3 linked regions of the Mus musculus genome follow. The protein of the gene in region 1 interacts with the protein of each later gene in a pairwise test. Links are inferred from orthologs where the notes say so. Each region holds a gene or a part of one and is shown in the gene's direction. Other genes may lie near its edges.

Region 1 (4,137 bases):
GATGCCCACACTTAACACAGAAAGCCAGGAGGACACAGGTTCCTAAGCCAACACAGGAATCCTGAAGACAGTGAGTGCGTCTTCACACTGAGGCCTGGGGCTGGGCACCTTTGGCTCTCTCCAGCTGTCTCTAGCCTTGCTCTTCTCGTTGATATAATGGGGGTGCTAGACGCCCACAGGGTTGGAAGGGAGGTGTGTAAGAGAAACAATGTAAGCCCCTTGCTCAAACACAGCTGCCTCTGCCTCTTCCTGTTGAATGTTCGTCTTACATGCTATAGACCCTTCTCGTTCCGGTTGGTACCTGCTGGATGCTAGGGGCCTGGCTAGGCATCATCTTTTTTTTTTTTGTCGTCTTTTTGTTTTCTCATCTCTTGTAACTGTGTAGCTGCCTCGAGGATCAAGTGCTGAGATTACTGACATGTGCCAAAAGTCTTTTTATTTCCTCTTTAAATGTGTGTGCCTGCAGTCCCTTCTGGAGCTGGACGCTGTGAGCTGTCTTGATGTGGGTGTTGGAAATCCTCAACTCTGCGCCTCCGGAGGAGCTGTGGATGCTCAACAGCCGAGCCATTTCTCTAGCCCTCTGCCTTCATTTTTACTATTAGGATTTATGATTGATTGTATTTTAAAGTTTATTTTTTGTGTAGTCCTGGCTGACCTGGAACTCACTCTGTAGACCCGGCTGGCCTTGAACTTAAGTCACCTGCCTGCCTCTGCCTGGAATTGAATGCTTGAGCCACCCCCGAGGACACATGTTCCTAACTTTCAACAGATTCTAAGTGATGTCTGTCTGTGACCAAAACAAAGAAGCCTGTTTAATACAAGCTAACCAGTCAAGAAATCCTAGTGGAATGGTAATTAACTACAGCAAGCGCCAAAATGTGTTGTCCTGCTTTGTGTATGCCTTTGGTAACCCTTGCCGCAACCAATGGCAGACAGAGTAACCAAACAAATTCCTGAGTGAGAAGGTTTCTGGGCATGCTCGGTGTGAGCCATAGGAGTTTTAGCATGGGAATTCTGAAGCCGCTCAATACAGTCTGTCCCTGAAGGTGCCTGCCTTACTTTGCGACTCACAGCAAGGACCCCCAGCCTTGGCACCTTCCAGACTGTAGTTACAGAAACACAGAATCACACTGCACAACCTCAGAGTAAGGTCCAAACCCTAAGCCCCTTAGTTCCTGCTGGAACTTGAGTTTTCGCTGTCTTTAAAACCAGGCTAACAAGCTAAACCTGCTCTATGACGAGAAAAATGAAGAAATCTGGCGCTCAACGCTTGGAAATTTGGCTTGTGGGCATCCTAAAATTCCAGTCCCGGCTCTGGGCGGCTGCACCACACCTACCTCCGAAGACAAGTTCCTCCAGGGATTCTGGCCCGCAGAAAGGGAAGGAAACGCCATGGCCAGATCCGGAGGGGATGGTCGAGCTCCAGGCTTTTCACGTAGCTGAGAGGTGGGACGAGTCTTGTCTTCGTCCCGCCCCCTTTTGAGTTCGCGGGCAAATGCGAGCAGTAAGTCGAAATTTTTCCACCCACGGACTCTCGGTGCTAACTAAGGTTTGCACAGCAGCCATGAGCTACATCAATCTGCCCACCGTGCTGCCCAGCTCCCCCAGCAAGACTCGGGGGCAGATTCAGGTGCGGGGTCTGGAGTGGGGTCGGGTGGTGGCTGGTGCGGGGTGTACAAGGGGGAGACCCCTTAAATGACTTCTCTTCTAGGTGATTCTCGGGCCCATGTTCTCAGGGAAAAGGTAATGAATGGGCCTTCGGGGCGGTGGGCCTCCCTCTCTCTCTGCAGCCTCTCTCTCTGCAGGCCCTGGCTCTCCTCTCCCCCCTCCCCCATCTTCCCAGGAGCCTCTGACTAGGCGGCAAACGCGCTCGACCTCTGTGTGTACATTCCCGCCCAAAATTCGATTTCCTGGATTGCTGCCATCCTCCTGCCCAAGCCTTTTCTCTTGGGGAACCCTATCTTTGCTGAGGCGGACCACATGGGGGTACAATTGAAGACCCCAGCCCACATTACCCAGGAGCCCACCGAACTCTCATGTGTCCCCTGGGAGTTAGGCACCTTCTCTGACAGTTTCCTCATTCATTCCCCATGCGAGCTCTCCTAAAGCCTTGGAGCCCAATTAACTCTGAGGTGAGGGTCTAAACTCTGGGAGTCCCACCCAGAATAACAAACACACACTACTTGGGTTTTCTTTGCTTTATCTTGGGGTTAGTTTTTGTTTTTTTTTTTTTAACTCAGCGTCTTTATTTGTGGCCCAACTCAGAGATCCGCTTGCCTCTGCTGGGGTGCATCACCATACCAGGCACCTCATTATTTCTGAATGGTCTGGTGTCACCTCAATTTGTCCCTTGCCCCGAGGGTGAGGGCCAAACTCATGATCTGGGATCCAGAAGCAAGCTCTCTGGTGATTCTGTCAAAGACTTTGAAGTTCATTCATGAAAATTGAATTTTGTTCAGAACAGCATGGGGTGAACGGCTGCAGTTCCGGCTGCCCGACGCTAGGTGGTAGTGGCAGCCCGCCTTTTGCTCGGGCCTCATGTGCTCTGGTTAATTCTTGCAGCACAGAGCTGATGAGAAGAGTCCGGCGCTTCCAGATCGCCCAGTACAAGTGCCTGGTCATCAAGTATGCCAAAGACACGCGCTATAGCAACAGCTTCTCCACACATGATCGGTCAGTCCTACCCCTGAGCCTGCCCTTCGGAAACCCCTAAGCCTCGGGGCACACTGCTGCTAGCCTCTAGTGGATATGAATAAGTGCTCAAAACTTACTTAGAATAACCTGTCCCCAAGTGTCCATTGTACCCACGGAGGCTGGGAGAACCTGGGTCCCACTTGGGTAGAGGCTGCAGCCCTCTTGACTCCAGAGATATTTCCCCCCCTCTTTAGTTGGCTCTCTGCCATTAGGTAGCCGTCATCATTCTGAATTGTCTATCTATCAGCCCTTCCACTGGACATTTCCCTCTGAGCCCAAGGGTAGGTAGGAGTTCAAGAAAGTAATTTGTGCCTCTCGGGGTTGCTGGAGCTGGGCCAAGGGTGAGCAGCCTGGGGTAGAGCAGGTTTCTGAAGCGGAGCAGGAAGTGGAGCCGAGAACTACCAGGACTTGGGAGTTGGCCTGGGGATTCAAGCCAGGCTTCCTGCCAGACTCTGTACTGAGGTCTTTACAACTGTCTTTGTAACCACGGTGCCAGCGCTCAGGACGGGATGTGCATCCAGGAGGACCGAAATCAGAGGAGGCAACAGTGCCTAGAGTGGTGGCCACAGCTGGCTTGTTGCCTGTCCTCTCTCTGGTCCCCTCTACCAGGGGAGGGAAGAGAGAATTTAAGATGCCCGAGTGTTGTGTTGTGTTCTTTAGTTGGTTTCTTTTATTTTTTTCTGAGACAGGGTTTCTCTGTGTCGCCCTGGCTGTCCTGGAACTCACTTTGTAGACCATGCTGGCCTTGAACTCAGAAATCCTCCTGCCTCTGCCTCCCAAGTGCTAGGATTAAAGGCGTGCACCACCATGCCCAGCTTTGGTTGGTTTCTTAGGGAGGTGTGTGTTTGCACACAGGTAACCATACACCCGCGTTCAGAGGACAGCCTCGGGTTATAAGATCTGTGTTCCACACTCATTGGCCATATCTTTTTTTTGTTTTGTTTTGTTTTGAGACAGGAACTCTCTACAGACCTCTGGTTGCCCTGGAATTCACTCTGTAGACCAGGTTGACCTTGAACTCACAGAGATCCAACTGTGCCTGCCAAACGCTGGGATCAATGACATGTCCCACCACACCTGGCTCAGTATGCTCTCAAAGCAAGCCCTTTACACATTCAGACATCTCCATCCTGTTTTTGATTTGTTTAGGGTTTTTGCATGTAGATCTGCACGCTACTTGCTTGTCTGGTACCCTGGGAGGTCAGAAAAGAGCATCCGATTCCCTGGAACAGGAATTATAGATAATTGTCAGCTGCCATGTGGTTCCTGGGGGTAGAACCTAGGTCCTCTGCAAGAATGACAAATGATCTCTCAACCCATTTACTGAGGCAGGTCTCAGGTAGCATAGGTGGGTTATAACTTGTAACCCTCCCTCCTCTTCCTCCTGGAATTACAGGCTAGCAATCCCACACCCAGCCCACAACTCCTTCAGATCTATGTAAA
Region 2 (4,247 bases), on another chromosome or scaffold:
CAGAAAAGAAAATAATAGGTTTTTGGTTACCTGTGATCTAATAAAGCTCTTTAGTGTACGAAATAAGGACCCTTGGTAGAGTGTGCTTAAAGTTATAGGTTAATGAGCTAAGGAACATTGACATTGTACCCAGAGGGAGATGACTGAACTATGCTGAACTGAATTGACAAGTGTTGGGCTTGTTACAGGTACTAATGAGCAGTCATCAAGGCTGTAGCGTAACGGACTTTCTATCCTCAGCAAATAAAAAAGAAACCCATTTTCTCCCTTCTTCATCAATATGTATAATATATGTGCATAGATGTGTGTGTGTGTAGTATACAGTCACTTGCATCTATTCCAAACCTAGTCATAACAGCATGTATTAATTACAGAAATATGTGGCTCGGTTAATGATGAGAATGCTGTATTAAATTGAATTTCACTTCATTTTGATTTTAAAAGGCTAAAGACATTTTGAGTGACTGACAGGTGCCAATCAAGGCTATTATTAGCAGTTGCATATATAGCATCAAAATTCAAAAAAAAAGTTAGGCTTATTCAGTTTTGGTCATACTTACATGTGTCATAATTTGCAGACATGAGTAAAAGTAAGCAACTATACAGCGTTGCTACAGAAGCAAGTGAAGGTGGCATTTGGAGAAATCACACCAAGCTGCTAAGGTAGCAAAACTGACTTCCTGCCTGTAACACAGCACACAGCATTGGGTTCCTTCGGAGCAACCATGCTGTGCTCATTGTTGGGATAAACTCCTTTTATTAAATACTTATTTCTTATATAGCTACAAGACAGTAAAAATCAAAACAAAACCAAGTCTTGCTCTACTCCACCAGGCTATGCGAAGGCTGAGCGGCTGGGAGCTTCCCAATGACAAATAAACCAGAAACGAGGCACGCCAGCTGTTCACACTGGAAACTTACCCAACATTTTATTTTGGTCCAAGTTTTATTTATTTCGTGAACAAACGAGAGTAAGTTTTCAATGGGGTAGGGAGCCTTATTCCTTATCCTATCAATAAGGAAGAGTGAAATTTCAGTGCAGGTCGGCGTTTTAAAGGTCACATCTACGCTCCCTTTTCTTCCTACCACCAGCCGCTCTGGTGGGACCGCCACCTTGGGGACAGAACCCCAGGACACCTCTCCTCGGGCGCCTCCTCCGTCGTCCGCCCACAGTTCTGCCTCTCAGAGTTGAATCTCAGGGATCCGGCAGGGAGCTGCGCCAGGTCCCCCTTTCCCGCTCGCCGCCAGAGAGCCGCGCGGCCACCGAGCCCAGGTGGCGAACAAAGGCGGCGCGGGGCGCAGGGCGCGGGGCGCGCGGCCCGGCTGGCGCGCGTCTCCCTAGCAGGAGGCGGCAGTGGCGGCGGCGCGCACCGGAGCCCGCATTCCTCCGAAGCTGCCGGAGCCCGCGGGGCGACGTCACCCCAGGCTCCGCCCCCGTCCCTCCCAGAGCAAACTAACTCTGGACTACCCTGAGCAGCCTCTGCCTAGCATGGAGAGCGGCGGCCGCGGCTGGCGGGCGACGCTGGAGACGCTTTCGCCCGCGAGGTAGTTGGCCGACGTTGCGCAAGGACGAAAGTGCTGGCGGGTGGCCGCGGCGTCTCCGCGAGCCCCCCGACGAGGCCGGGCGGGCTGCTGGCTGGCGGATTTCACCGCGATTCCCCCGGAGGCTCTTTGCAAAGCTGCTTGAAACTTCTCCCAAACTCGCCATGGATGTGGCGGCCGCTGCGTTGCCTGCTTTTGTAGCTCTCTGGCTTCTGTACCCGTGGCCTCTCCTGGGGTCGGCCCTTGGCCAGTTCTCAGCAGGTGAGAGGTTGGGGGTGGTCTGTGTCTGTCCACAGTCTTGGACTCAGGCAGGAAGGACTGACTGATTGCTGGTGCTGGGTTCGGGGATCCAGGGGGCGTCCGCTTAAGGTGGCGGGGGTGGTGGTGGTGCAGGTTGGAGCTAGGTCTGTCCTGGGAGTTTGTGTCAGGCGGGACGCAGGGCCAAGAGCTGTGCGCCCCCGTGCGCAGGTAACTTTTACGTTCTCGACCCATTGTTTCTGAGGCTAGTCCGGCGCGCAGACAGCCCAGGGTGTGCTGGATGGAGTGTGTGGCGACCTTGCTTTTCCTGGGTGTTCTTTTTGCCTGGGAGTCGGGAGCAGTCCACAGCATTAGTTAGGGAAGTGAGGAAGAAAAAGTACTTAGGGCTCCCGGGACCACGATTTTATGGCTCGCTGAGCTGGCTAGTGGCTCTCTGTCGCCAGACTGTTCAAAATTTCCCCGGGAAGTCTTTGTGAGAATTGTGGAGACACATAGGGACCGATCTCGGTGTGTTCTGCCAGGTGCTTTTTGTCCCGGGTATAACCGCCTCTGACTATTGTCCAGCTACTTCCCGGTGCCTCCTGGAGGCTCCTTCCTCCTCTGCTGAGGGTTCAGAGTTGCTCCTGGATAGATTACAGAGCACACAGCGTGGAGCACGTTGTATGTATACATTGGCAGAGTCCGTACGACGTTTGTAAATGTAGCTCTAAGGGTAGATTCAGAGCTGTCCTGGGCAGCGAGTTCTGGGCTCCCATTCCCGGAAGGCTTACCCTATTTATGGGGCGAAGCCACCACAAAGCTCAAATCTGGCTCCACACCACCCTGAGTCCGCCTGGGTGACCTGGGCTGGGAACGTTCGCTGTTCTCCTGGACAACCCAGGAGTGAGACGTGATGCGATATTCCAGGCTATCCCTTTGAGTTCTAAGTAAAACCGCTCAGATAAGTCCCAGGATTCCGGGTCTTTCAGACTGGTGGTCTCTGTTCCCGTCCAGTTTTGATATCCTGCCTGTAGGTCGCTGGCTTCTATGTATCTGCCGGCTCTGAAGTTTCACCAGGTGGACGCTGGGGAGCGGGCTCCCAGGTTTAAGCCTCTGCCTCCCACAAGGCTTTACAACTTTTCTGGTTAACCCACCCAGCCCAGCAAGGTTGGAGGGCGCATCCGCTGCTGCCTTGGTTCCCAGTGTTTGTGGAAACACAGAGTGGCCAGAGGGTGACGGGAAACGCGACAGCCGCGCTCCTGGCTGAACCAGCAGGATGGGAAGACAGAACTTACTTTGTACTTGATAGTTTCATTGTTGAGACTGCTCGATTTCCTGGAAATACACTCACCATGATGTTTTCCGGAGCAAATCGTCCCTTAGCTTTTCTTTCCCCCTCCCCTTTAGGAGTTAGACCTCGGAGTCTGGAGCTTGAGTGTATCCTCCTCGTAGGCAGAGACTATGAAATGGTAGCAGGCAAAGGAAAGACCGTGTGTGGGGTGGTGTGCAGAAGGCACCAGCTCTATGCAATGAATTCCGACGACTTAATTTAATTTTCTGGTTTCCGCGTTACCGAGTGTCTCTGCCATACAATGCTGTTAGTATTGGAACCATGCTTGATGTAACTCATTATATGCAGCAAGTTGGAGGGAGTATTGATTTCTACACGGTGCTTGTCGCTTCACGGAGAGCCTTGCTTGAGGAGGCATGTTATTTGTTAATTGAACTTTACCAGTTACATGATTAAACACATGTATTTAGAACTGGAGACTAGTGATGTCTTAGCAGCTGATGGATAGATTTTCAACATGTGAGAATTTTTTCTCTTTAAAAATGTTATTTATCATTTAATCACTGTGTACCGAGAGTGCCTCATCACACTGTGCAGATTTGTTTCTGGGAGTTTATAATGAATGCAGGCTCCACAGATCTGGCTCTCATCCTTATGTTTGCCCACAAATGAAGGCCTTTTATCTCTTGAGTTTAAAGTCAGATTGCGCACCTATCTGTTTTTCTCCAGAGATTGAAAGTTGGTTTTTGTAGACATCTCTTTTCTTCTGGCTGTCATAAATCATTTGGTATTGTAATGCCATTAAACTCTATGGCATATTTGTTAAAAAAAAAAAAAAGCATTGACTAGGGACAAGAAATTGGAAGTGCTTTGTTTTGTTCCTTGCTTCCCCCCTTCCCACTATTCTATTTTAAATGAGGAACTTTTGGAGGCATTTAAATGAACATGCTTTAAAGAGCTGAAGAGACATATTTTCTAAATTCTAAAGTACTTCATCCTACTATATATGCATTTTATAACATGATCACCAAGGGTGGTTCACCACTTTCCAGGAGTACTCTGTGGCTGTTAATGTAGGAAACATAACTACACATTTGGGAGGATAGTGTAGTTGGGAATGTGTGTATGTCATATATACATTGGATCTCTGTGTGTGTCTCAGTCACACATTTAACAC
Region 3 (4,083 bases), on another chromosome or scaffold:
CTCCATAAACTCAACCTGCTTTCATATACACCTTCTCATTTCCTGTTCACAAAGCCAGCTCCACGGCACCTATAATTATTTAGTATTTGAAGAAACTGGCTCCCGAGAGGAACTGGTGGAAGCTCCTGTTTACCCCTCCACTGTGCCAGACCAACGAAGAGTAACTCCTGGTGGACCAGTCCTAGCGCCAAGCCTAGGGTTTCTGCTAATAGAAAAACTGCAGGTTCTCGGGCTTCCTCAATTTGTAGCTGGTCAGGTTTTAAACCTTGCTTTTCTGAGGGGAGGAATCTGGGTAGTGTTGATGCCTTTTGTGGGACAGACAGTACTAGCCGAGAGAAGGAAATGTGAGCCCTGAATGTGGGCTGCAACCGTGTTTTTATATTTTCCTGGTTATCACATTTTTAAAAGTGAAAACAAGTGAGTCATTTAACAAATATATTTTAAGCACTGTGTCCAAAACGTGATCACTGTGACCTTTTGTCAGTGAGGTTCTTTGGCTAACTTACCCAGCCCATGAAAACCAGTGTCTCTCTCAGACCAGCATCTCAACTCACACTCACTATATTAGCTACCTCCACTTCCCTCCCTTGCTCTCTCGCTCCAACACGTGTCTGAGAGCAGAAATTTCGACTTTTAAGAGGCTTTTAGGACCCAAGAGTCCAGACCAGAAAAACGTCACTCTTCCTCCTCTATACCTAGCAATCGACCTGTATAGCATCCTTGTCGTCCTTGAAACAGTCCAGACCCTCACTTGATCCTCCCCTCTTTCCTCCCAAGCGGTATCACGTCTGGCTTTCTACTCGCCCTTAGTTACCAAGCAGACTTGAAAGAGAGAACCGGGCTGCAGTTCAAGTCCTGCCCAGGATGCAGGCACCCTTTTTCAGAAAGGACATCTAGTAGAGATGCATTTTCAGTTCTGGGCTTCATATCCAAGAGCGAGGCCACACCTGTCCTGCTACTGGGGAGGCAGGAGCCCCATCTGTAGTCCCCAGAGTGGTGGGAAATGAGCAGTGTGGGAGCAGAACCAGAGTGTAACCTAAAGGTCTCGACAGTAGACAAACACCTCAGGTGGACACTGAGGGGAAACCAGCAGGACCGGCTGGGGGGGCGTAATAACCCTAGGAGGCTGGATACAGGCGGGTGCCCCGCACCTCGCACCGCGCCCCGGCTCCCTCTCGCGGTGCCGCAGTCCCAGCCGCGCCGCCCCTCGGCTCTGCCCCCATGACGTCAGCGGGACTGGGCGGTCCCCGGGTATAAAAGGCGGTGCTGGGGGAGGGCGACTGGTCTTTTGCGCTCCTTAGCCCTCTGTCCACGCACTGCTCCGAGGGCAAGAGCCTCCACCCCTTCTACAACCAGCACCATGCGCGAGATCGTGCACATCCAGGCGGGCCAGTGTGGCAACCAGATCGGCGCTAAGGTGGGCTCACCCCTAGGGAAGAAATGGATGAGGTAGTCCCATCCGGTCAGGGTCCCAAGGTTGCGTGGGGAGAGGGGTAGGGGGGGGTGTCGCGGAAGCAGGCCGAGCCTAGGGGATCCAGAAGAGCCCCGGCTGGTGTCGCATTCCACCGCTGGCTACTGGGCGGGCCGGGTCCTGAAAGCCGACCAACTTGCCAGGATTGGTGCGACAAGGGTGTCTTAAATTAAGGTCCATTACATTGCTTTGGGACACAGCCCTTCTGCGGGGTGCAGCTGACATTAGTCTGGGTTTTTTTCGTGTCTGAAATTTGGGTTGGGGGGGTCACTACATGTATTGAAAAAAATCTCATGTCAAATGTAATTCATATATATATATATATTTCTGTCATTTGAATGAAAAAAATGCAGTGTCATTGGGTTGACAGATGTTACAGAGGCGTGTCTTTGGGCCAACAGACGAGGGTGTTAGACAAATTCTCTTACAAGGGCTCGTTTAGATGTGACATAAAACATTATGGTCCTCTTTTTTCTCTGCAAGACTGCTTGGAATGGGGGCTGTGAGACCCGACGGCAGTGGGGAGACAGCAATGGGTATTTAACATGGGTGTGGGCGGGTGCCTGCACAAGGACATGGTCTCTTTCAACACCGCCATATTGCCCACCCAACCTCCCCACTCCCTTTCCTGCTGCCAAGTCACAATGGAGGTTACATCCTGAGGATGGCCAGCTTTTTCCCGGGGCTGCCAGACGCCCTCTCAGGATTGTACTGCCCATCCCCGAACATTCCTAGCCAGGGTCAATACCCGAAGCCAATATGTAGGTCAGTGGTATAAAACTGGGCTGTTGAAAGCTGTCATGGAGTCTGTGCCAGCAGCCATTGATCCCTGGAGGCACAGGGGGCGGGGCACCTGATTTTCCCTTCTGCCTTTCCCATCCATCAGCCTGTATGTGTAACATTCAGCCTTGCCTGGAGTGATAGAAAGCAGCTGCCTCTGCAGTTCTGCGAGATCCGCTGTGCCCACTTCCTTCTCCAGGCTCCTCCCAGCCCTGCATCTGTGGTCATAATATGGCCGATGCACTGCGCATTCCCAAGACCCTCTGCAGCAGCAGCTGCTGCCCAAATACATGGAGGCCCGCAGCCCACTAGGCTCTTGCCCTGCTGTCTTTCTGGTGACAGAGAGATTCTAAGCATGATGTGGGATTGTCTTCATTTCAGTTTTGGGAGGTGATAAGCGATGAGCATGGCATCGACCCCACTGGCAGTTACCATGGCGACAGTGACTTGCAGCTGGAGAGGATCAATGTGTACTACAATGAAGCTGCTGGTAAGAGTTTGGATGTCAGTCTCGCTTTCCATACCGTGACAGAGAAAGCAGCCTACCAGCATGCAGACAAGGAAATGGTTTTTTTGCATATTCATTTTTTTTAAAAAAGCACTTCATAATTCCTGAAGACCTCTGCATGCTTTGTGTCTCCATTTTCTTTTTCCTCCTTTGTCTCAATGCTGGGATTTCTGCAATGAATTCTTTTGCCACATTCATCTCCTTTCTCAAGCCCAATTGTAAGTCAGCTCTTGTCCCCACAGGCAACAAATATGTACCTCGGGCCATCCTAGTGGACCTGGAGCCGGGCACCATGGACTCAGTGAGGTCGGGACCATTCGGCCAGATCTTCAGGCCAGACAACTTTGTGTTCGGTATGTTGTGATGCTCCATGAGAGCTGGCCAGATGACTCACTCCCTTCCTAGCAGCCGTGGGCTTTACAGTTCTGTGTGCAGCATCCAGCTGAGCCTGTGTCCCACAGACCACAAGTCCTGGCCTAACCTAGGCAGCTGACAAGATCATGTCTGTGGTCACTCTTGACAGCTCAGAGGAGAGTGTGGGCCTGGTAGAGGCTGTGCAAGGCCTCTGTGAGGAACAGTGTCTGGGGGCAGGGGAGGAGGGGATGAAAGCCTTCAAAGAGGGCATTACAGGCTGCAGGGGATTTCAAAGGGCTTCTGATGCCAGGCAACCACTTCAGTGACCAAGGTGAAGCCCAAATGCTTACAGCTGCCTTCCCTGCCTCTTTAATTATACCTAATTAAGGGTATTTACAGAATGCTCTCTGTGCTTAAGTTTAGAAGCTACTGAGTATTGTTAAAATGTGTCCTCTTCCTTGATTCTTTCTTTATTATGATCCTCAAGGTTTTTGAGGTCCCTGGATACACTGACAATATTTCTTTCTCATAAAAGTATATCTAAAAGACTACTGAATGTTCTCTAAGGCCACTTCTACCATTTCCTCTACAGTCCAAGGACACCTCCCTGGATTCCTAACTGTCTAATATTCTCTTTTTCTCTTTCAGGCCAGAGTGGTGCAGGAAATAACTGGGCAAAAGGCCACTACACAGAGGGGGCCGAGCTGGTGGACTCTGTCCTAGATGTGGTGAGGAAGGAGTCTGAAAGCTGTGACTGTCTCCAGGGTTTCCAGCTGACCCACTCACTGGGGGGAGGCACTGGCTCAGGCATGGGGACCCTGCTCATCAGCAAGATCAGAGAGGAGTACCCAGACCGCATCATGAACACCTTCAGCGTCATGCCCTCACCCAAGGTCTCTGATACTGTGGTGGAGCCCTATAATGCCACCCTCTCAGTGCACCAGCTGGTAGAGAACACAGATGAAACCTA

Evidence for each region. The genes of interacting proteins can lie anywhere in the genome.
Region 2: the proteins of Tk1 (region 1) and Ptprk interact in a two-hybrid assay, tested with the Homo sapiens proteins (2 studies listed by BioGRID and IntAct). The link is inferred for Mus musculus from reciprocal best matches to the Homo sapiens genes TK1 and PTPRK.
Region 3: the proteins of Tk1 (region 1) and Tubb2a interact in a two-hybrid assay, tested with the Homo sapiens proteins (2 studies listed by BioGRID and IntAct). The link is inferred for Mus musculus from reciprocal best matches to the Homo sapiens genes TK1 and TUBB2A.

The regions. Positions count from the first base shown.
Region 1 is NC_000077.6:117,823,207-117,827,343, reverse strand, and holds the start of Tk1 (thymidine kinase, cytosolic), read left to right. Parts: upstream 1-1,329; 5' UTR 1,330-1,337; coding exon of another isoform or gene 1,338-1,394; 5' UTR 1,395-1,495; coding exon of another isoform or gene 1,496-1,564; coding exon 1,565-1,630; exon of another isoform or gene 1,631-1,711; coding exon 1,712-1,743; exon of another isoform or gene 1,744-1,841; intron 1,842-2,042; exon of another isoform or gene 2,043-2,132; intron 2,133-2,562; coding exon 2,563-2,673; intron 2,674-4,137. UniProt on the Homo sapiens protein: Cell-cycle-regulated enzyme of importance in nucleotide metabolism. Catalyzes the first enzymatic step in the salvage pathway converting thymidine into thymidine monophosphate.
Region 2 is NC_000076.6:28,073,375-28,077,621, forward strand, and holds the start of Ptprk (receptor-type tyrosine-protein phosphatase kappa isoform 2 precursor), read left to right. Parts: upstream 1-1,445; 5' UTR 1,446-1,706; coding exon 1,707-1,803; intron 1,804-4,247. UniProt on the Homo sapiens protein: Regulation of processes involving cell contact and adhesion such as growth control, tumor invasion, and metastasis. Negative regulator of EGFR signaling pathway. Forms complexes with beta-catenin and gamma-catenin/plakoglobin.
Region 3 is NC_000079.6:34,075,207-34,079,289, reverse strand, and holds the start of Tubb2a (tubulin beta-2A chain), read left to right. Parts: upstream 1-1,281; 5' UTR 1,282-1,360; coding exon 1,361-1,417; intron 1,418-2,632; coding exon 2,633-2,741; intron 2,742-3,001; coding exon 3,002-3,112; intron 3,113-3,761; coding exon 3,762-4,083. UniProt on the Homo sapiens protein: Tubulin is the major constituent of microtubules, a cylinder consisting of laterally associated linear protofilaments composed of alpha- and beta-tubulin heterodimers.